Linked DNA regions of Macaca mulatta. The protein of the gene in region 2 interacts with the protein of the main gene of each other region in a pairwise test. Links are inferred from orthologs where the notes say so. Each region holds a gene or a part of one and is shown on either strand. Other genes may lie near its edges. The genes, in order: KIF9, ZBTB8A, AP1M1, ARMCX1 and ZBTB48.

Region 1 (3,513 bases), on a different chromosome or scaffold from region 2:
TAGAGGGACCAGGTTGCGTCTATGTTAGTAGAGAAATCAAGACCCCTTGGCTGACTCCTGGACCATCTGTCTCGAGAAGAGGACATTTGCACACAGCCTCTCAGCAAAGTGGCAGCCAAGCCCTTCTCCAGAGCAGAGAAACACCTGATTAATAATTTTAAAACTAAGTGTTTGCTGAGGCTATAAAAACCACCTTTTCTAAGTGAAGACCTCTATAAAACGAAATGATTCTATACCTTGAAAATACCTTCTAAAGTTTTTTATAAATAAAACGTATTTCCTCAGCTTTCTCTTCCAAAAGGCTCTGCCTGCTGTCTTCAGATGGAGCCCATTTATGGACCTGTCTGCATGGGCACAGACACGTACACATGAGGCCGGAGGAAGGTTACTGGCCTCCCCCCGGGCCTAAAGCCCACAGCATTCCCCTTGACCAAGGGTTAATCTGGGACTGCCCCTCCTATGAAGGCCAGAAGAGTCCATCCCTTAGTTGCCCCAGGCCTGCTTCTTGGAGCTGCCCATAGTAACAGACAGGGGGGTCTGCCCATGTCTCCAAGAAGAGGGGTTCGATGGACTGCACTGTGAAAACAGGATGCAGCCTCTTCCCCCTGAGGACCCTTCCTTGTGGGGCAGTTTCCCCCTCCTTGGCCCACTCCAACATGGGCCCTGGGGTCTACCTTGTAGACAACCAGCATGACCACCATCCTTTATCAGCTTCATTCTGCGGACACAGTCAAGCCACCCAGGTGCAGCAGTTCAGTTCATCACCACTCCGTTTCCCTCCCCACTAGGCAGGTAAGGCCACTGAAGTACACGCGGTTGAGTATTTTGCCAAGGTCACTCAGCAAAGAAGCAGCTGAGCTAGGATTCAATCCCAGAAAGCCTGGCTCTAGGGCCTGTGCTTGTGCCCCTGAGATGAGCTGAAGGGTCCCTGACATCAAGAGTCCAGCACCACCCTCCACCCACTGCACCCATTCATGTGAGGTTCTGAGGCTAGCAGAGCATGCGTTGGGGTGTGCCCAGGATAGGGAGGTCCAGGCTGGCTCAGCACAGTGGTCACAGACGGGTTCCTTACATCGATCTCGTCCAGCGTCCCCTCCAGGTACCTCCGCACCTGGGAGTTGATCTCAGCAATCTGGATTTCATCCATGGCTTCATAGGTCACAAAGGTGCGGTTGGTCTTGAAGGAGGATGAAGAACATGTGGATAAGCAACAAGAACCCAAGCCCATGCGGGAGTGGCAGGGGCCATTCTGAGAGGCAAAGTAGGGAGGCTGGGCACAGGCCCTGGCTGACCAAGCTGGCTCATTCCCTTCATCATCGGGTCCTGCCAGAGGGCCTAACACACAGGCCAGGTGCTTGAGTCAGAGATGGGTAATGGGGTCGGGGAGGAAAGGAAAGTCCCTCAGACATGGGGCCTGCTACTCCAGACAGAGGCTCTGCTGCCTGAGTCCCAGCAGACTCTGCAGCATAAGAACCGCGAGGACGGGAGGCATGCGCTGCCTCTGGCTTGAGGCCCCTCAGGACCACCGGAGGACTCTGCCCCCACCCCCTGTCCTCATGGCCCCTTGCTGCTGCCCCTTTCCTGCCACTCAGCCTGCCCCCTGACCCCGCCTACTACCGGCCTTGACCCATTATGCTGTCTGCCCCTAGCCCCAGTCGCCCCTTATCCCAGCACCTCTGCCCTCCTTCCTTGCCTCTAGCCTCTTACCAGGCTGTCATGGATGGCCAGTTCCTGCTTGAGCAGTGCTAGTTCCTTCTCCAGGTTCTTGACCATTCTCTGCCGGGAAACATGGTAGGGTGGGGGCCAACAGGAAGGGTCATCAGAGAAGCTACCCTGTCTCTTCCACAGCAAGAGCACAATTCTTCATTCTGTGCCCAGACATCCCGGCCATTCCTGGATCCACAGGGTATGCTTTCAGCTTCTGTCGATTACCTCCCCACTGGTGACTCTTCCCCAACTGGGGTGAGTTCAGGGTCTGGGAGGACCTGAATAGTACCCTGGCCTTTGCTACTGCCTCAAAAGAGACAGCACAAGCTACAGGGCCACCTCAAACCCCAACTCCCAGGGGCCCCAAGCTTCTTCCAGTCTACCAGGATAATGGCCCTTTCGGTGCAGCCTATAGACTCCAGAATGCCTTCTCTTTTTTTGAGACAGAGTTTTGCTCTTGTTGCCCAGGCTGGAGTGCAATGGTGTGGTCTCAGCTCACTGCAACCTCCGCCTCCTGGGTTCAAGCGATTCTCTTGGCTCAGCCTACTGCGTAGCTGGGATTACAGTTGCCCACCACCACACCCAGCTAATTTTTATAATTTTAGTAGAGACATGGTTTCACTATGTTGGCCAGGTTGGTCTCAAACTCCGGACCTCAGGTGATCCGCCCACCTCAGCCTCCCACAGTGCTGGGATTACAGGCATGAGCCACCATACCCAGCACCAGAATGCTTTCTTTTTAGAGACAGGCTCTTGCTCTGTCCTCCAGGCTGCAGTGCAGTGTCACCATCATGGGTCACTGCAGCCTCAACCTCCTGGGCTCAAGCAATCCTCTCACCTCAGTCTCCTGAGTAGGTCATGCTACAGGTACACACTGCCATACCCAGCTAATTTTTGTAGAGACAGGGGTCCCACTATGTTGCCCATGCTGGTTTCAAACTCGTGGGCTCAGGCAATCCTCTCACCTCGGACTCCCAAAGGCTGGGATTACAGGTGTGAGCCATCGTGCCCGGCCTCCAGGATGCTTTCTATGCATGGTTATAACCCTCATCCTTTTACCCTCATCCTCACCAACCACTGCATGAACATATCACCACTCCCCAATGATAATCATGTATGTCACCTCTTATTTTTTATTTTTTATTTTTTTTTGAGATGGGGTCTCGCTCTGTTGCCCAGGCTGGAGTACAGTGGCGTGATCTCGGCTCACTGCAACCTCTGCCTCCCAGGTTCATGTGATTCTCCTGCCTCAGCCTCCCGAGTAGCTGGGATTATAGGCATACACCACCACGCCTAGCTAATTTTTGTATTTTTAGTAGAGACGGGGTTTTGCCATGTTGGCCAGGCTAGTCTCGAACTCTTGACGTCAGGTGATCTGCCCTCCTCAGCCTCCCAAAGTGCAGGGATTACAAGTGTGAGTCACTGTGACTGGCCTCACCTCTAATTTTTTGCTGCTTACAAACAATGCTGCAAGAACATTTTTGTACTCATATTTATGTCCTTAGATTTCTGCAGAAAAACACAGCGATCTATGAGGCTTTTGAGATCTGCCCCCATTACCTCTTTTCTGCTTCTCTTCCCTGGTGCACTCCAACCACTTCCACAAATTGGTATGCTTCTGCCTCTGCATTGCCTGTCCACTGCCCTGGAATTTTCTTCTCCTAGGTATTTCCAAGACTCATTCACTTACCTTCTGAAAATCTTTTTTCAAAAGCTTCTAAATTAGGTACACCACAATTACTCTTTAAAATTGTAATTCCAGCCAGGTGCGGTGGCTCAGCCCTGTAATCCTAGTACTTAGGGAGG
Region 2 (3,513 bases):
AAACCCCGTCTCTACTAAAAATACAAAAAATTAGCTGGGCGTGGTGGCAGACGCCTGTAATCCCAGCTATTCCGGAGGCTGAGGCAGGAGAATTGCTTGAACCCGGGAGGCAGAGGTTGCGGTGAGCCGAGATTGCGCATTGCACTCCAGCCTGGGCAACAAGAACAAAATTCCGTCTCAAAAAAAGAAGAAAAAAAATGTATTTGTATCTTTTTTTTTTTTTTGAAATGGAATCTCCCTCTGTCACCCAGGCTGGAGTACAGTGGCGTGATCTCAGCTCACCACAACCTCCACCTCCCGGGTTCAAGCAATTTTCCTGCCTCAGCCTCCTGAGTAGCTGGTATTACAGGCGTGTGCCACGCCCAGCTTATTTATTTTGTATTTTTAGTAGAGACAGGGTTTCACCATATTGGCCAGGCTGGTCTTGAACTCCTGACTTTGTGATCTGCCTGCCTCATCCTCCCAAAGTGCTGGGATTACAGGCGTGAGCCACCACGCCCAACCTGTGTTTGTATCTTAATAAGCTAAATATTCCTCTGAGTAAATACACAGAAAAAAAAAAGACTATTTAAAAGTGAAAATATCGGCCGGGCGCGGTGGCTCAAGCCTGTAATCCCAGCACTTTGGGAGGCCGAGACGGGCGGATCACGAGGTCAGGAGATCTAGACCATCCTGGCTAACACGGTGAAACCCCGTCTCTACTAAAAAATACAAAAAACTAGCCGGGCGAGGTGGCGGGCGCCTGTAGTCCCAGCTACTCGGGAGGCTGAGGCAGGAGAATGGTCTAAACCCGGGAGGCGGAGCTTGCAATGAGCTGAGATCTGGCCACTGCACTCCAGCCTGGGCAGAGCAAGACTCTGTCTCAAAAAAAAAAAAAAAAAAAGTGAAAATATGTGTCTTAGAGATTGAACTATTTAGAAAAGAGCTTTAAACATTTAAGAGTAATCTAACCACCCACAGATACAGGTTTGAAAAATCATGGGTTCTGCCGGGCGCGGTGGCTCAAGCCTGTAATCCCAGCACTTTGGGAGGCCGAGACAGGCGGATCACGAGGTCAGGAGATCGAGACCATCCTGGCTAACATGGTGAAACCCCGTCTCTACTAAAAAATACAAAAAACTAGCCGGGCGCGGTGGTGGGCGCCTGTAGTCCCAGCTACTCGGGAGGCTGAGGCGAGAGAATGGCGTGAACCCGGGAGGCGGAGCTTGCAGTGAGCTGAGATCCGGCCACTGCACTCCAGCCTGGGCTACAGAGCGAGACTCCGTCTCAAAAAAAAAAAAAAAAAAAGAAAAATCATGGGTTCTGACCCTTAGTACTCTTATTATTTGGATTGTCATTATATTTATTCAATATTATTTTGAATAAATCCACGTTTTATGAAACAAATTTCTTCTTCCTTTTTTTTTGAGACACAGTCTCGTTTTATTGCCCAGGATGGAGTGCAGTGGTGCAATCCCAGCTCACTGCAACCTCTGCCTCCCAGGCTCAAGTGATTCTCCTGCCTCAGCCTCCTGAGTAGCTGAGACTACAGGTGTGCACCACTATGCCTGGCTAATTTTTTTTGTTTTTTGAGAAGGACTCCTGCTCTGTCACCCAGGCTGGAGGGCAGTGGCGCAATCTCAGCTCCCTGCAACCTCCGCCTCCTGGGTTCAGGTGATTCTCCTGCCTCAGCCTCCTGAATAGCTGGGATTACAGGCACATGCCACCATGCCCCGCTCATTTTTTTGTACTTTTAGTAGAGATGGGGTTTTGCCATGTTGACCAGGCTGGTCTTGAACTCCTGACCTCAGGTGATCTGCCCACCTCAGCCTCCCAAACTGCTGGAATCACAGGCGTGAGCCACCACGCCTGTCGTTACTAAATAAATTTCATTACAGAAATAGAACTTTTGAAAAAAATCAGTTGCTTCAACTGCTTAGAGCACCTGAAACTAAGGGTGTTTTGACAGAAGACCGATTTATATAGCACTTTGGAACCTAGAGGAGGGGACTTATGCCCTTCTTGGGTACCTGGAAAACTTTTGGATGTGACATCAGATCCTTGACCGTACTGATAGCCAACAGGAGGAGAGTCCATTTCAGCATCAATCTGTGCTTGTTCTTCAGACTGGGAAACATGGCTGGAAGAATCAGATGTTCGTGCTTCTCGTTTGCTTGACTTATAATGAGTAACTTCAGAAGGCTGTGACATTCTCAAATGTTTGGTCTTTTTAATGGACTCTTTCCTTGGTTCACGCTTGGCCAAGGGTTGTTGAGTATTCTTCTGGGAGGCTGGATGATAATTATACTTATTCCAAGATTTTCCACTTATTATACCTGCTCCTTGCTCTGGGCTTAGGTGAGAACGTGGAGAACTGCTTCCTTCTTGCCAGCCACCACTATAAAAAGAGGAACGTTCTACACCATTAGAATTGGCATCTTTATCTGAGAGACTGAAATAGCGATCTTTTTCTTTCTCACTAATGTCTAAGGAAGATTTAATAAAAGTCTTACATACACTTATGACATCAGTCATCTGAAGGAAGCTAGCAGCCGACATTACTTCTATGACATTCTGACCAGTAAGAGACAGTTTGCCAGAATATACGAAGTCCAAGATAACTGTAAAAGTGTCAGGGGAGAAAGCCTGAAATGTAGCTGTGGTTGGCTGACTTGTCTCTTTTGAATTCTGAGAAAGAAGCATTTTAAAGTAGCCGCTACTAGCAAATAATACATTTCGATGTGCTTTGAAGACCTTCCCTTCAACTAGAATACTGCAGTCACAAAATACATCTTGCCTGCGCTGCTCGTTCAGTTGCTGCAGGAGGTGAGACTGATGAGAGGAGATCTCCATTCTGAAGAGGAAAAGACACGTGTGGTTACCAAAACCTACATTACAATTATTTTATTTTGTTTTGAGACAGGATCTTGCTCTGTTGCCCAGGCTGCAGTGCAGTGGTGTGATCAAAGCTCACTGCGGCTGGGCACAGTGGCTCACTCCTGTAAGCCCAGCACTTTGGGAGGCTGAGGCGGGAGGATCACCTGAGGTCAGGAGTTCGAGGCCAGCCTGGACAACATGGTAAAACCCTGTCTCTACCAAAAATACAAAAATTAGCTGGGTGTGGTGGCGGATGCCTGTAATCCCAGCTACCTGGGAGGCTGAGGCAGACGAATTGCTTGAACCTGGGAGGCAGAGGTTGCAGTGAGCCAAGATTGCACCACTGCACTCGAGCCTGGGCCACAGAGCAAGACTCCATCTCAAAAAACAAACACCCAAAAAACAAACAAACAAAAAATGCTCACTGCAACCTTAAACTCCTGGTTTCAGTGATTCTCCTACCTCAGCCTCCAAGTAGCTGGGACTACAGGTGTGCACCACCATGCCTGGCTTTTTTTTTTTTTTTAATAGAGATAAGGTCTCGCTATGTTACCCCAGCTGGTCTCTAACTCCTGGACTCAAGCAATCCTCCTGCCTCAGCCTCCCAAAGTGAACAATCCTTTTCTAAGGTGAGTCAACTAAAATAATAATCAGAAG
Region 3 (4,152 bases), on a different chromosome or scaffold from region 2:
GCGTCCTGCTAAGAATTCCTTCGTTATCTTGTCATGCTCCAAGGCCCAGGAAAAGCCTAGGCACAATTCTGGGTGGGCTTTTGTTACATCCCAGCCTTTGTACAAGGGCACTGGCTCTCTCGTCTTTTAATGTTTAACTTAACCCTTGTAATCCCAGCACTTTGGGAGGCCGAGGTGGGTGGATCACCTGAGGTCAGGAGTTTGAGACCAGCCTGGCCAACATAGTGAAACCCCGTCTCTACTAAAAATACAAAAATTAGCCGGGCGTGGTGGCATGTGCCTATAATCACAACCACTTGGGAGGCTGAGAGGCAGGAGAATTGCTTGAACCCGCGAGGCAGAGGTTGCAGTGAGCCGAGATCGTGCCACTGCACTCCAGCCTGAGTGACAGAGTGAGACTCCATCTCAAAAAAAAAAAAAAAAAAAAAAAGCAAAAAGCCTCTCTTGGCTGCTTGCTCTGTGCCTTGTGCAAGAATCCTTCCAGCCCAGGATCACTTAGTAGTCCTCAAACATTCTAGTTTGCTTTTCTAGAGGTTCGGTCACATTTCTATCCTAAGACTATATAATTACCGAGTTGCAAAAATCATCTTTCCAAACGCCAAAACGGAGATAGGAGGGAAAATAAAAGATGTGAGAGGCAGGCATCCTGGGTAAACCACTCTGATATTGCAGGGTTGGGATCCCCAGGGTACTGTGATGGCTAACTGGAACAGAATGCAGGTATTTCTCCAAAGCCCAAGATTTCATAAAAGCAAATTAGATATGATTCAATGGATTAATCAAGGGCCACCAGTTGCATTACCGACTACTAACTTTGCAGAAATGAAACACGGTATGCTGGGTCAAGGTTCAGTGAGACTGGTTTTCTTAACATTCCAGGCAATAAACAGGCATGCTCATTCACTGATAAGTTGACAATGACAGGTGGTGACTGTTGATAAGGTCTGATTGCCATTCAGAAAGTTTGACCTCTTTCCAAGTAACCACGGCCTTACCTCTCCCTTTTGAGCTTATCACAATTGGTGACTGTACACTTGTTTCATAGACTTCCCCACTAGACTGTGAGCTCCATAGGGCTGGGTCCCAGGTCGGTTTCACCACCAGGCTCTCTCGCCTAACTCGGCCGACGGGAGGCGGTTTTCAGCTGCTCTGGCTCCATAGCTCAGCCTGGCAGCGGCCAGTGGGTGCCCTGATTTGGTCGGCCCCGCCTCCCAGGGCCTTACTTCCGGGAGGCTTCAGGCGGGAGCAAGAAACATGGTCACATACAACGTAATGCGCCTGCGCAGAGTCCGTCCTGCGCCTGCGCATTCCTGGCAGCTCCTCCCGGACCGGACATAACGGTCCCCGCGCGGCTCCCCGAACCGGAAGTGGAGGTGAGCTGTCGCGGGCGGCGCCCGGCCTTGCTCAACGCCTGGCAGTCCCCACCGTCGCTGCCGCTGCCGAGGCCTCCTGCAGCCACCATGTCCGCTAGCGCCGTCTACGTGCTGGACCTGAAGGGCAAGGTAATGAAGGCTCCCCACCCTCCCTGTTGCCAGGCAACCGGCGGGGGCCTCCGCCCGCGGGGACCCACCCTGTTGCTAGGTAACCGGCTTATGAGCCCCACCCTGGTGTGAGGCAAAGAGGCCGGTAGACCTCACCTGAGAGCCCCACCCTATTTCTGGGTAACCGGGCGGGGGTCGTAAGTGGGTAATCCACGCCCTGTTGCTAGGTAACGCGGTGGGCTGCAGCCACCGCGTTGCCAGGTAACCGACTGCACCGCCCTCTGCTCCCAGGCACCCGGGCCAGAGGCTCTGGGCTCGGTGGAGGACCCAGAAGCGGGGCCGCAGCCGGCCTTGGAGCCAGGCAGGGTGTCCAGGGGCTGCGCGACCCTTGGCCGGGGGTGGCGAGGCGTGGCGGGGACTGGGTGCTCTCCAGCCAGTCCCGCCCTCTCAGGGCGTTGCAGCTTCTGTTTATCGTGCACTTTCTCTCAGGAGGAATTTCTCCATGTTCATTGCGATAGTGAGTTACAAGGGTTAGGTGAGTGGATGGTGATCACGAGTACCGTTTTATAGAGGGAGAAACTGAGGCACGGAGAGGTGAAGTAACCTGACCAAGGTCACAATGGTCACAGAGAAGTAGGAAGTCTAGGAGTCCGATCCAGAAGCATTTGTTTATTTAGCTGATATCTGGGGAGCACCTACTAATGCCAGGCAGGATAGTAAGCCTGGGGTCGATTTGTGTTTAGCAAAAAACAATCCTGCTTTTTTTTTTTTCTTTTTGAGATAGTGTCATGCTCAGTCGTCCAGTCTGGAGTGCAGTGGTGCGATCTCCACTCACTGCAACCTCTGCCTCCTGGGTTCAAGCAATTCTCCTGCCTCAGCCTCCCAAGTAGCTGGCATTACAGGCACCTGCCACCACGCCCAGCTAAATTTTGTATTTTTAGTAGAGACAGGGTTTCACCATGTTGACCAGGCTGGTCTCAAACTCTTGACCTCAAGTGATCCAGCTGTCTCAGCCTCCCAAAGTGCTAGGATTACAGGCGTGAGTCACTGTGCCAGGGCTCAACAATCTGTGTTCTTATGACGTTCACAGGCTGATTGGGGAGATGGATACCGATCTCCAAAAACACAAATAAATGTCAGTTGCAGTGGGGGGGTGGGGCGGATGTGTTATACAGATGGTCAGCCTCAGCCGGAGGATGAGAGAGGGTTTTCCTAAGGAGGGGTGACAAATGGACCTGAGATACCAGGGAGCTGGACATAGACTAGAACCCGGGCATCTTCCCCAGAGGATCTGAGAAAACTGAAAGAAGGGATTGTCCCCGCCTTTTAGAAATGGTCCTCTGCCTTCTCCCAAGTCCATCCCAGGTACAAGGCAAGTGGCTGCCTGGCCTGTTGCATGTGGAAGCAACAAGCACCGGTCCAACAATGTTAAACCCAACATTGGTCAGTGAGAGAAACAAACGTGGGTGTCAGGTCCTAGGTGAGGCGGGCAGGGGTGAGCCCTAAAGCAGCTGAGAGTGAAGAGGTGAAGTGGCTGCCCCTTCCTGTCCCACCCCACCCCCACACTTTCCTGAAGTCCCTTGAGTGGGTGCCTGCCCTGGAAGCCAACCAAAGCCAATAACTGATGAGATCCAGTGCTGGGTTTCCTTCCCCCACCTTCTTGGAAGCAGGGAAGACACCCGTCTTAGATCACGCCAGGGGCTGGGTGTGTGCAGTGTACCCTGAGTCCTGGTGGCATGAGTCTTGCTTCCGCCCTGGCCACTGCCTCCCCAGAGGTGCCAGCGGGCTGCCTGTCTTGGCTGGCTTATTCCTTCAGCAAACATTTCATGAGCACCTAGGATGCACCCTGTCCTGTGCCAGGCATAGGGTGTCCATTGGCACCGTGGCTGTGGTGTTAGGGCTGAGCTCAAAACCCATCTCTGCTGCTCAGCTGTGTGACCTGGGACAGGCACCTTCTCTCTGAGCCTCGCTTTCCTCACTGGTCAAAAGAGGCTTTCATGGAGTTATTGTGCAGATTTGCCGAGCAGATGTGTGAGACAGGCTCAGCACCACCCATGGTCCATGTTAGCTTTCCCAGGCCTCTCGGTCTAGCAGGGGAGTCCTCTAGAAGCAGAGACATTACCACACAGTTGGATCCAGGCAGCCACAGGGGCAGGAACAAGGTCCCAAGTCCTGCAGTTGCTCAACCTCGTCTTTAGCCAGTGGAAGGTGGAGGTGGTTATGAAAGGCTCCCTGGAAGAGGGCAACGCCGGAAGTGGGTTTGGAAGGTGATCAGGCACGATCTGGTGGAAAAGAGGTATTGCAAGGGGCAGCCTGCTGGGGCCGCTGAGCCAGAAGTCCTGGCTAATGCTGAGATGGGAGAGAGGGACCAAGGGGACCACTTCATTTCCAACAAGGAGCCACCGTGAGGAGACCATAGCCCAGAGAGGCATGATCAGACCTGCCTTTCAGAAAGCTCCCCAAGGCAGCCATGGGCTTCCCTCCCTCCCTCTGCAACCATGATGCCCTTTCTTATTCCACAATCCACGGACCTCCTGTTTCCAAAGTCGGCCTCGTGAGCCGACTGCATTTCATCAAAAATAAAGCACACTGAGAAATTCGTGGCCACGTGTCTGGTCACCGAGGACACTGGCGTGGCCACACTGGGCTGGAAGGAAGCTCTCCTAGTAGG
Region 4 (3,597 bases), on a different chromosome or scaffold from region 2:
CAGGAAGAAACGCAAAGTTGTCAAGAACCAAGTAGGTCATAATAAGGGTGATGGCATTATTTGGGGGTGGAGCATGGTGGCGACTGCAACTCGAGTGGGCCCGTGGACCCCCTCCACATCTCCCTTCTTCCCTTCTTCCCTACACAATTTCGGATCTTGCAAAATAAATTGCTCTGCAGGTACAAGACAGGGAAGCAAATAGCTGAGAAGGGGTGGGCGTCAAGAGAGTCCAGGGGTTGGGAGGACGTTACTCCAAATTACTGTTTGAGGTACAGTGTCCTTGGTGTTGGTCCGTCGACCAAGCACTCACTTCTGAAGTTTGTTAGTCTTGAAGGTTTAGTGGAAGCAGAAACTGAGGTAAGGGAGGTAAGAAATTGCTCCCGAGCAGAGGTAGTTGGTATAACGACACGGCGGGGGTGGGGGGTGAGTGGGGGTGTCCTGGTACCTTTGAGATGGAGGAGTTGGTGGAGGCAAGGACAGAGTTGGAGACCTTTACACATTTCACGCCAGTCCGGCTTTTAGATATTCTCACTTCATTTTGTTACAAGGAAAATGTTAACAATGAAAATGTGTGGCGACATCTTCGGAGGATGCCAATGATAAGAGTAGGGGTGGAGGTGGAATGGAGGGTTAGAGGAATCATCGAAGGAGGAAGAGGAAGGGAGACAATGAATTCCAAAGCCGCACCTCGGTGAGGAGTGGAGGGCAACCGAAGGCGGGAAACATCGGGCAAGGCAGTTGTAAAGGGCTAGGAATTCAGAAGAGGGATGTATGTCCCGTCCCGGGTGATATCTGTATGTCCCCCTAGCTCTCGGCACCCCCTCCTCGCGTCCTTGTCTGCAGGTTTGCACGAAGCAGTGCCCTTGGAAGCAAGAAAGAGAAGGAAAAAACTGCCTGGACCTCTGTGGGTGCATGTGGGGGCGCCACTGTTCCCAGGACATCTGAAGGGCAGGATGGCAGGGAACTTTAACATTCTGGGGCGACGTGGTGGAACGTGAGGTTGGACAGTCTTGAAGTGGGGAAAATTTCCAAACTTAGCTTCCGGATGGAAGAAAGGAATCAGTGATCTAGATATTAAGCCCCGAGTTTGCCAATATATCTGTATTTTTGTACGTTTGTTTGTCTTGCCGTTGTTTCAGTCTGTTTGCGTGGCAAAGACACAAAAGGAGGAGGAGCCTGAAATCTGAACTGCATCCTTTATTCCTAGGTCAAGCTGCCTCAGAGCCGGCCAGCAGTAGCTGCAGACTCCGCCCGCGACGTGTTCGCGCTTCTCTGGGCCAGAGCGAGCCTGTTCTGTGCTCCGGTTAAGAGATTTGTCCCGGCTATACCATGGGCCGCACTCGGGAAGCTGGCTGCGTGGCCGCTGGTGTGGTTATCGGGGCTGGTGCCTGCTACTGTGTATACAGACTGGCCTGGGGAAGAGACGAGAACGAGAAAATCTGGGATGAAGACGAGGAGTCTACGGACACCTCAGAGACTGGGGTTGAGACTGTGAAAGGAGCTAAAACTAACGTTGGGGCAGGGTCTGGGGCCAAACTTCAGGGTGATTCAAAGGTCAAGCCTGAGGTGAGTTTGGGACTCGAGGATTGTCCAGGTGTAAAAGAGAAGGCCCATTCAGGATCCCACAGTGGAGGTGGCCTAGAGGCCAAGGCCAAGGCCCTTTTCAACACGCTGAAGGAACAGGCAAGTGCAAAGGCAGGCAAAGGGGCTAGGGTGGGTACCATCTCTGGGAACAGGACCCTTGCACCGAGTTTACCCTGCCCAGGAGGCAGGGGTGGAGGCTGCCACCCTACCAGGAGTGGATCTAGGGCTGGGAGCAGGGCAAGTGGAAAATCCAAGGGAAAGGCCCGAAGTAAGAGCACCAGGGCTCCAGCTACAACATGGCCTGTCCGCCGAGGCAAGTTCAACTTTCCTTATAAAATTGATGATATTCTGAGTGCTCCCGATCTTCAAAAGGTCCTCAACATACTGGAGCGAACAAATGATCCTTTTATTCAAGAAGTAGCCTTGGTCACTCTGGGTAACAATGCAGCATATTCATTTAACCAGAATGCCATACGTGAATTGGGTGGTGTCCCAATTATTGCAAAACTGATAAAAACGAAAGACCCCATAATTAGAGAAAAGACTTACAATGCCCTTAATAACTTGAGTGTGAATGCAGAAAATCAGGGTAAGATTAAGACGTACATCAGTCAAGTGTGTGATGACACCATGGTCTGTCGCTTGGACTCAGCTGTGCAGATGGCTGGGTTAAGACTGTTAACCAACATGACTGTGACTAATCATTACCAACATTTGCTTTCCTATTCTTTTCCAGACTTTTTTGCTTTGTTATTCCTGGGAAATCACTTCACCAAGATACAGACTATGAAACTAATTATAAACTTTACTGAAAATCCAGCCATGACAAGAGAGCTGGTCAGTTGTAAAGTACCATCAGAATTGATTTCCCTTTTTAATAAAGAATGGGATAGAGAGATTCTTCTTAATATCCTTACCCTATTTGAGAATATAAATGACAACATAAAAAATGAAGGGCTTGCATCATCCAGGAAAGAATTCAGCAGAAGTTCACTTTTTTTCTTATTCAAAGAGTCTGGAGTTTGTGTTAAGAAAATCAAAGCACTAGCAAATCACAATGATCTGGTGGTGAAAGTAAAAGTCCTGAAAGTATTAACCAAACTCTAATTTGGAGTCTGTCCCAAAGAGTATTGAGGTATTTGCACTTGGTACGATGTGTTTTGTAAATTCTTTGTTTTTCATTGTGAATATATGGTAAAGAGATCTTTTCAGCTGCTATTTTGGAATAATGACTATCATATATCATAACAGTGACTGATGTTGGTTTTAATGGTTGGGTTGAGGATGAACCATTTTAATGATGCCAAATGGAATATTAGTACTTGTACACAGAAAGAATTTATTGATTTGATCTTATTACCTAGATTGAGATATTTTTACTCTTTCCTCTACCTAAACTGACAATGAATTAGTTATACATCATGAATAAGCTACACTTTTATATTAGTTTATATTTGTTAATCTAAGACTTGTGTTCCATCAATAAAGTTGTGTTTTAAGCAGCAGAAAAAAAAGACATTGTCCTTGTCCTTCAGTTTATGATCTGTTTGGAAAGGTAAGATATATGGAAACTAAAACAAAGAGATATTAACAAACCCAGGAGACCATCAATGCTTAGAGGCAGCAGAAACAGCTGCAGGCAACAGTGCGCAAGGAAAGTTTTACAAAGGAGAACTCTTAAGTAAGCTGGGTTTGAAGGACAGGATACAAAAAGTCAGAAGGGCACTCAAGACAGGAGGAGGGATGAAAAGAAAGGCATGGAGATGGGAATCCTTCTCCAGAGAGAAGTGCTGACCTGCTGGAATGGTAAGTGTAGGGAGGGTAGTGATGACAGAGAGAGTCAGGCGGTAAAGGTGAGTCCTATTCATGGAGCACCCCTAACTGCTAAACTGGGGTGTGTGAATATTACTGCATCCACCCCTGGGAGACATCAAGGCCTTTTGTGATCAGAGGAATGACAAGATGAAAGGAAAACGATATGGTAGATTTATGTGCAACAGGAGTCCAAGCTGG
Region 5 (4,276 bases), about 26 Mb from region 2:
GCTGCCTGGGTACAATTCTCCCAGTATCTTGCAGGCCCCTATTTCCTATTCCTACTCTGCTCATCTGGCTCTCAGGAACCTTCTTGGCCTTCCCTTTCAGACCTCTACAGATGCCAGCCTTGTGGGAAAGAAGAGTGGGCACCTGAGGGAAGCCAGACCTGCTTCCCACGCACTGTGGTGTTTTTGGCTTGTCAAGAGCACACCTCTTGGGTGCTGCTGGCAGCTAACACACTGCTGCTGCTGTTGCTGCTTGGGACTGCTGGCCTGTTTGCCTGGCACCTAGACACCCCTGTGGTGAGGTCAGCAGGGGGCCGCCTGTGCTTTCTTATGCTGGGCTCCCTGGCAGCAGGTAGCGGCAGCCTCTATGGCTTCTTTGGGGAGCCCACGAGGCCTGCATGCTTGCTGCGCCAGGCCCTCTTTGCCCTTGGTTTCACCATCTTCCTGTCCTGCCTGACAGTTCGCTCCTTCCAACTAATCATCATCTTCAAGTTTTCCGCCAAGGCACCTACCTTCTACCGCGTCTGGGTCCAAAACCATGGTGCTGGCCTGTTTGTGATGATCAGCTCAGCGGCTCAGCTGCTTATCTGTCTAACTTGGCTGGTGGTGTGGACTCCACTGCCCACTAGGGAATACCAGCGCTTCCCCCATCTGGTGATGCTTGAGTGCACAGAGGCCAACTCCCTGGGCTTCATACTGGCCTTTCTCTACAATGGCCTTCTCTCCATCAGTGCCTTTGCCTGCAGCTACCTGGGCAAGGACTTGCCAGAGAACTACAACGAGGCCAAATGTGTCACCTTCAGCCTGCTCTTCAACTTCATGTCCTGGATCGCCTTCTTCACCACGGCTAGTGTCTACGACGGCAAGTATCTGCCCGCGGTCAACATGCTGGCTGGGCTGAGCAGCCTGAGCAGCGGCTTCGGCGGGTATTTTCTGCCCAAGTGCTACGTGATCCTCTGCCGCCCAGACCTCAACAGCACAGAGCACTTCCAGGCCTCCATTCAGGACTACACGAGGCACCGCGGCTCCACCTGACCAGTGGGGTCAGCAGGCATAGCTGGTAGCTTTCTCTGTCCTGAGGGTCGAAGGTCAAGCAGGCCAGGGCTGTTTGGGAGGCCTTTGGGCACCTCAGTCTGGGGTTGGGACGTGTAAGCGCCCGGGAGAGCCCAGACCAGGCTCCGGGCTGCCAATAAAGAAGTGAAATGCGTATCTGGTCTCCTGTCGGGGAAGAGGGTGAGGTGCCGCGGATTCAAGTCTGAACCCAGAACCTGGAAAAGGCTTGGTGCCCAGCTTGACGTTGCTAGGCAACCCCGGAGGCGGGCCCAGCGCCAAAAGAACAGGGCGTGGCCTCATCCCCTCATCCCATTGGCCGTTCTCTGCGGGGCCCCGCCCTCGGGTGCCGGAGCTAGAAGATCTACGCTTCCGAGGCGCCCCTCCTGGCCGGCACGCTCTGACGTCACGTCCGGCGCGGAGACGGCTGCGTCTCCGCACGGTCGGCGGGGCACGCATAGCCGGGCAGTTGGTTCGTGGGCTGTGGAGGCGACGGAGCCGGGGGCTGGTGGGGCCAGCTCAGGGAGGACCTGCCTGGGTGAGGAGGGCACGAGGTGAGGGAGGGAGGGGCTGCGGGCCGCCGTGGCTGCCTTCCGCTCGGCCGCTCGGGACCTGTGGGCGCGGCGTGGGCTCCGCTTACCTGTCCGCGGCCGCCGTCCTCCCCAGTCCAGGATCCTCTCACTGTGCCAGGCCAGTCAGTTCGCGCTCATCCCGTGCCTTCTTTCCCCAAACTTGGATTTTTCCCACCAGGCCCTTCTTCATGACCCTGACCCCCCCATCAGCATCCCCCCTGGCCAACCCAATATGGCCCCCGGTCCCCGGGAGGCTGTCAAGTATGTTCCTGCCTTCCGCGTGCACCCCTCACCTTGACCCAAGCCCTCGTGCTGATAAATGTGATTATTTGAGTGGAGGCCAACTTCCCCTTTCTCTCTCTTCGACTCCAGGGGCTTTCTCTTGCATACGCTCGCTTGGGCTGGCCAGGGTGTCACTTCTGCCTCCCTGCCCTCCAGACCATGGACGGCTCCTTCGTCCAGCACAGTGTGAGGGTTCTGCAGGAGCTCAACAAGCAGCGGGAGAAGGGCCAGTACTGCGACGCCACTCTGGACGTTGGGGGCCTGGTGTTTAAGGCGCACTGGAGTGTCCTTGCCTGCTGCAGCCACTTCTTCCAGAGCCTCTACGGGGATGGCTCAGGAGGTAGTGTCGTCCTCCCTGCTGGCTTCGCTGAGATCTTTGGCCTCTTGTTGGACTTTTTCTACACTGGTCACCTCGCTCTCACCTCAGGGAACCGGGATCAGGTGCTCCTGGCAGCCAGGGAGTTGCGAGTGCCAGAGGCCGTAGAGCTGTGCCAGAGCTTCAAGCCCAAAACTTCAGTGGGACAGGCAGCAGGTGGCCAGAGTGGGCTGGGGCCCCCTGCCTCCCAGAATGTGAACAGCCTCCTCAAGGAGCCGGCAGGCTTGCAAGAAGAGGAAGTTTCGAGGACTCTGGGTCTAGTCCCCAGAGATCAGGAGCCCAGAGGCAGTCATAGTCCTCAGAGGCCCCAGCTCCATTCCCCAGCTCAGAGAGAGAGTCCCTCCTCCCTCTGTGGGAAACTCAAGCAGGCCTTGAAGCCTTGTTCCCCCGAGGACAAGGAACCTGAGGACTGCAAAATGCCTCCAAGGCCCTTCGAGGCTGAAGGTGGCCAGCTGCAGGGCGGGAGTAATGAGGTACTGTGCCCAGGGTGCTGGGACTGGGGAGACAAATGGAGGGAATAGACACTTTTTTTGGTATAATAGGGACCCTGGGCTGGGTGTGATGGCTCATTCACGTGAGTGGTTCAAGTGGAGGACGACAGGGATGGACGAAGTCTATTTGTAATCCTAGCACTTTGGGAGGCCAGGGTGGGTGTGGATCACTTGAGCTTGGGAGTTCGAGACCAGCCTGGGCAACATGGCGAGGCCTCATCTGTACAAAGAAAATACAAAAATTAGCCGAGTGTGGTGGCACACACCTGTAATCCTAGCTACTTGGGAGGGTGAGGTGGGAGGATCACTTGAGCCCAGGAAGTGGAGGTTGCAATGAGCTGAGATGGTGCCACTACGCTGTAGCCTAGGCGACAGAGCAAGACCCTGTCTCAAAAAAAAAAAAAGTGGACCTTAAGACAATCTCTGTTAATGTGGGTTTGGAACGGGCTTTCTCCAAACAAAGGAAGCTGGTGATCTCAGGCTGACCTTTCTGCAAGCCCCAGCTATTCATGGTTGCCACCTTCCTGAGAGGAGTGGGCAGCATCAGGGTTACAGGTGTTTCCCCAGGATAGTGTTTCCATCCGAGCTTCCAGTTCCCCACAAATACAGTCACTTTCCTCTGAATCCAAGACTCAGATGCTCTGCCTTGGGCCCCTGAAGGAACAGTGTCTGATGAAGGGACTTGTCAGGGTTGGGGCTTGGGATGGAACTGGAGCTGGGTCCCTACAACTCCTGCTGATTCATTTGGTGACCCCACCCCCTCCTGCTGCCTATTGTGCTCTAGTGGGAAGTGGTGGTTCAAGTGGAGGACGACGGGGATGGTGATTACATGTCTGAGCCTGAGGCTGTGCTGACCAGGAGGAAGTCAAATGTAATCCGAAAGGCCTGTGCAGCTGAGCCAGCCCTGAGTGCGGGCTCCCTAGCAGCTGAGCCTGCTGAGAACAGAAAAGGTACAGCGGTGCCGGTCGAATGCCCCACATGTCATAAAAAGTTCCTCAGCAAATATTATCTAAAAGTCCACAACAGGTAAACTTTCTGTTTTTCTATTTTCCTGTCTGCCATTCCCGCGTTGGGGGAGGGGTCTTGCACGTCCCACTTCTGGGTGAGGTAGGGGCTGGGGGATCCATCTCAGACCCACATAGTGCCTGGCCTTGGCACACCTCTGGCAATCAGGAAGTGAGAGTCTGCTTTGGGTTAGATTCTTCTTCCTCACTGTCCTGTGAGTACTGTGGTTGGAGATGGGTTTGTGGACATCTTGTCAACAGGTTCCACCCACTGTGGACCTTGACCTTCAGCTGGCCTCTGCGGACAGAATGAGAAACCTGTGGCCCGTGTGCTAGAGCTGAGGCCCAACCTTAGGTGTTTCTGAAGCCCGGCAGTGTGGGCTTGAAGCCTGGCAGTGTGGGCTTTGGGCCACAATGCTGAGCCTTGGGTCAGTGCTACCTGTGTTTCCAGGGAAGTGTTCACTCTGGGGTGTCAGTGGAGTATTAAAGTCCAGTTGTCTAAAC

The links.
Region 1: the proteins of ZBTB8A (region 2) and KIF9 interact in binary tests that used the Homo sapiens proteins (3 or more experiments, as listed by UniProt). The two-hybrid records come from large-scale screens. The link is inferred for Macaca mulatta from reciprocal best matches to the Homo sapiens genes ZBTB8A and KIF9.
Region 3: the proteins of ZBTB8A (region 2) and AP1M1 interact in binary tests that used the Homo sapiens proteins (3 or more experiments, as listed by UniProt). The two-hybrid records come from large-scale screens. The link is inferred for Macaca mulatta from reciprocal best matches to the Homo sapiens genes ZBTB8A and AP1M1.
Region 4: the proteins of ZBTB8A (region 2) and ARMCX1 interact in binary tests that used the Homo sapiens proteins (3 or more experiments, as listed by UniProt). The two-hybrid records come from large-scale screens. The link is inferred for Macaca mulatta from reciprocal best matches to the Homo sapiens genes ZBTB8A and ARMCX1.
Region 5: the proteins of ZBTB8A (region 2) and ZBTB48 interact in binary tests that used the Homo sapiens proteins (3 or more experiments, as listed by UniProt). The two-hybrid records come from large-scale screens. The link is inferred for Macaca mulatta from reciprocal best matches to the Homo sapiens genes ZBTB8A and ZBTB48.

What each region holds. Positions count from the first base shown.
Region 1 is NC_133407.1:110,597,958-110,601,470, forward strand, and holds part of KIF9 (kinesin-like protein KIF9), read right to left. Parts: intron 1,777-3,513; coding exon 1,708-1,776; intron 1,178-1,707; coding exon 1,073-1,177; intron 1-1,072. UniProt on the Homo sapiens protein: Essential for normal male fertility and for progressive motility of spermatozoa.
Region 2 is NC_133406.1:208,282,115-208,285,627, forward strand, and holds part of ZBTB8A (zinc finger and BTB domain-containing protein 8A), read right to left. Parts: intron 2,834-3,513; 5' UTR 2,833-2,833; coding exon 2,010-2,832; intron 1-2,009. UniProt on the Homo sapiens protein: May be involved in transcriptional regulation.
Region 3 is NC_133424.1:16,678,044-16,682,195, forward strand, and holds the start of AP1M1 (AP-1 complex subunit mu-1), read left to right. Parts: upstream 1-1,347; 5' UTR 1,348-1,460; coding exon 1,461-1,502; coding exon of another isoform or gene 1,503-1,573; intron 1,574-4,152. UniProt on the Homo sapiens protein: Subunit of clathrin-associated adaptor protein complex 1 that plays a role in protein sorting in the trans-Golgi network (TGN) and endosomes.
Region 4 is NC_133426.1:108,428,088-108,431,684, forward strand, and holds ARMCX1 (armadillo repeat-containing X-linked protein 1), read left to right. Parts: upstream 1-1,329; coding exon 1,330-2,691; 3' UTR 2,692-3,089; downstream 3,090-3,597. UniProt on the Homo sapiens protein: Regulates mitochondrial transport during axon regeneration. Increases the proportion of motile mitochondria by recruiting stationary mitochondria into the motile pool. Enhances mitochondria movement and neurite growth in both adult axons and embryonic neurons.
Region 5 is NC_133406.1:234,203,598-234,207,873, reverse strand, and holds the start of ZBTB48 (zinc finger and BTB domain-containing protein 48), read left to right. Parts: upstream 1-1,469; 5' UTR 1,470-1,601; intron 1,602-1,991; 5' UTR 1,992-2,060; coding exon 2,061-2,750; intron 2,751-3,552; coding exon 3,553-3,794; intron 3,795-4,276. Other genes in the region: TAS1R1 (taste receptor type 1 member 1), read left to right, coding at 101-1,032. UniProt on the Homo sapiens protein: Plays a critical role in transcriptional regulation and chromatin remodeling. Acts as a regulator of telomere length. Directly binds the telomeric double-stranded 5'-TTAGGG-3' repeat.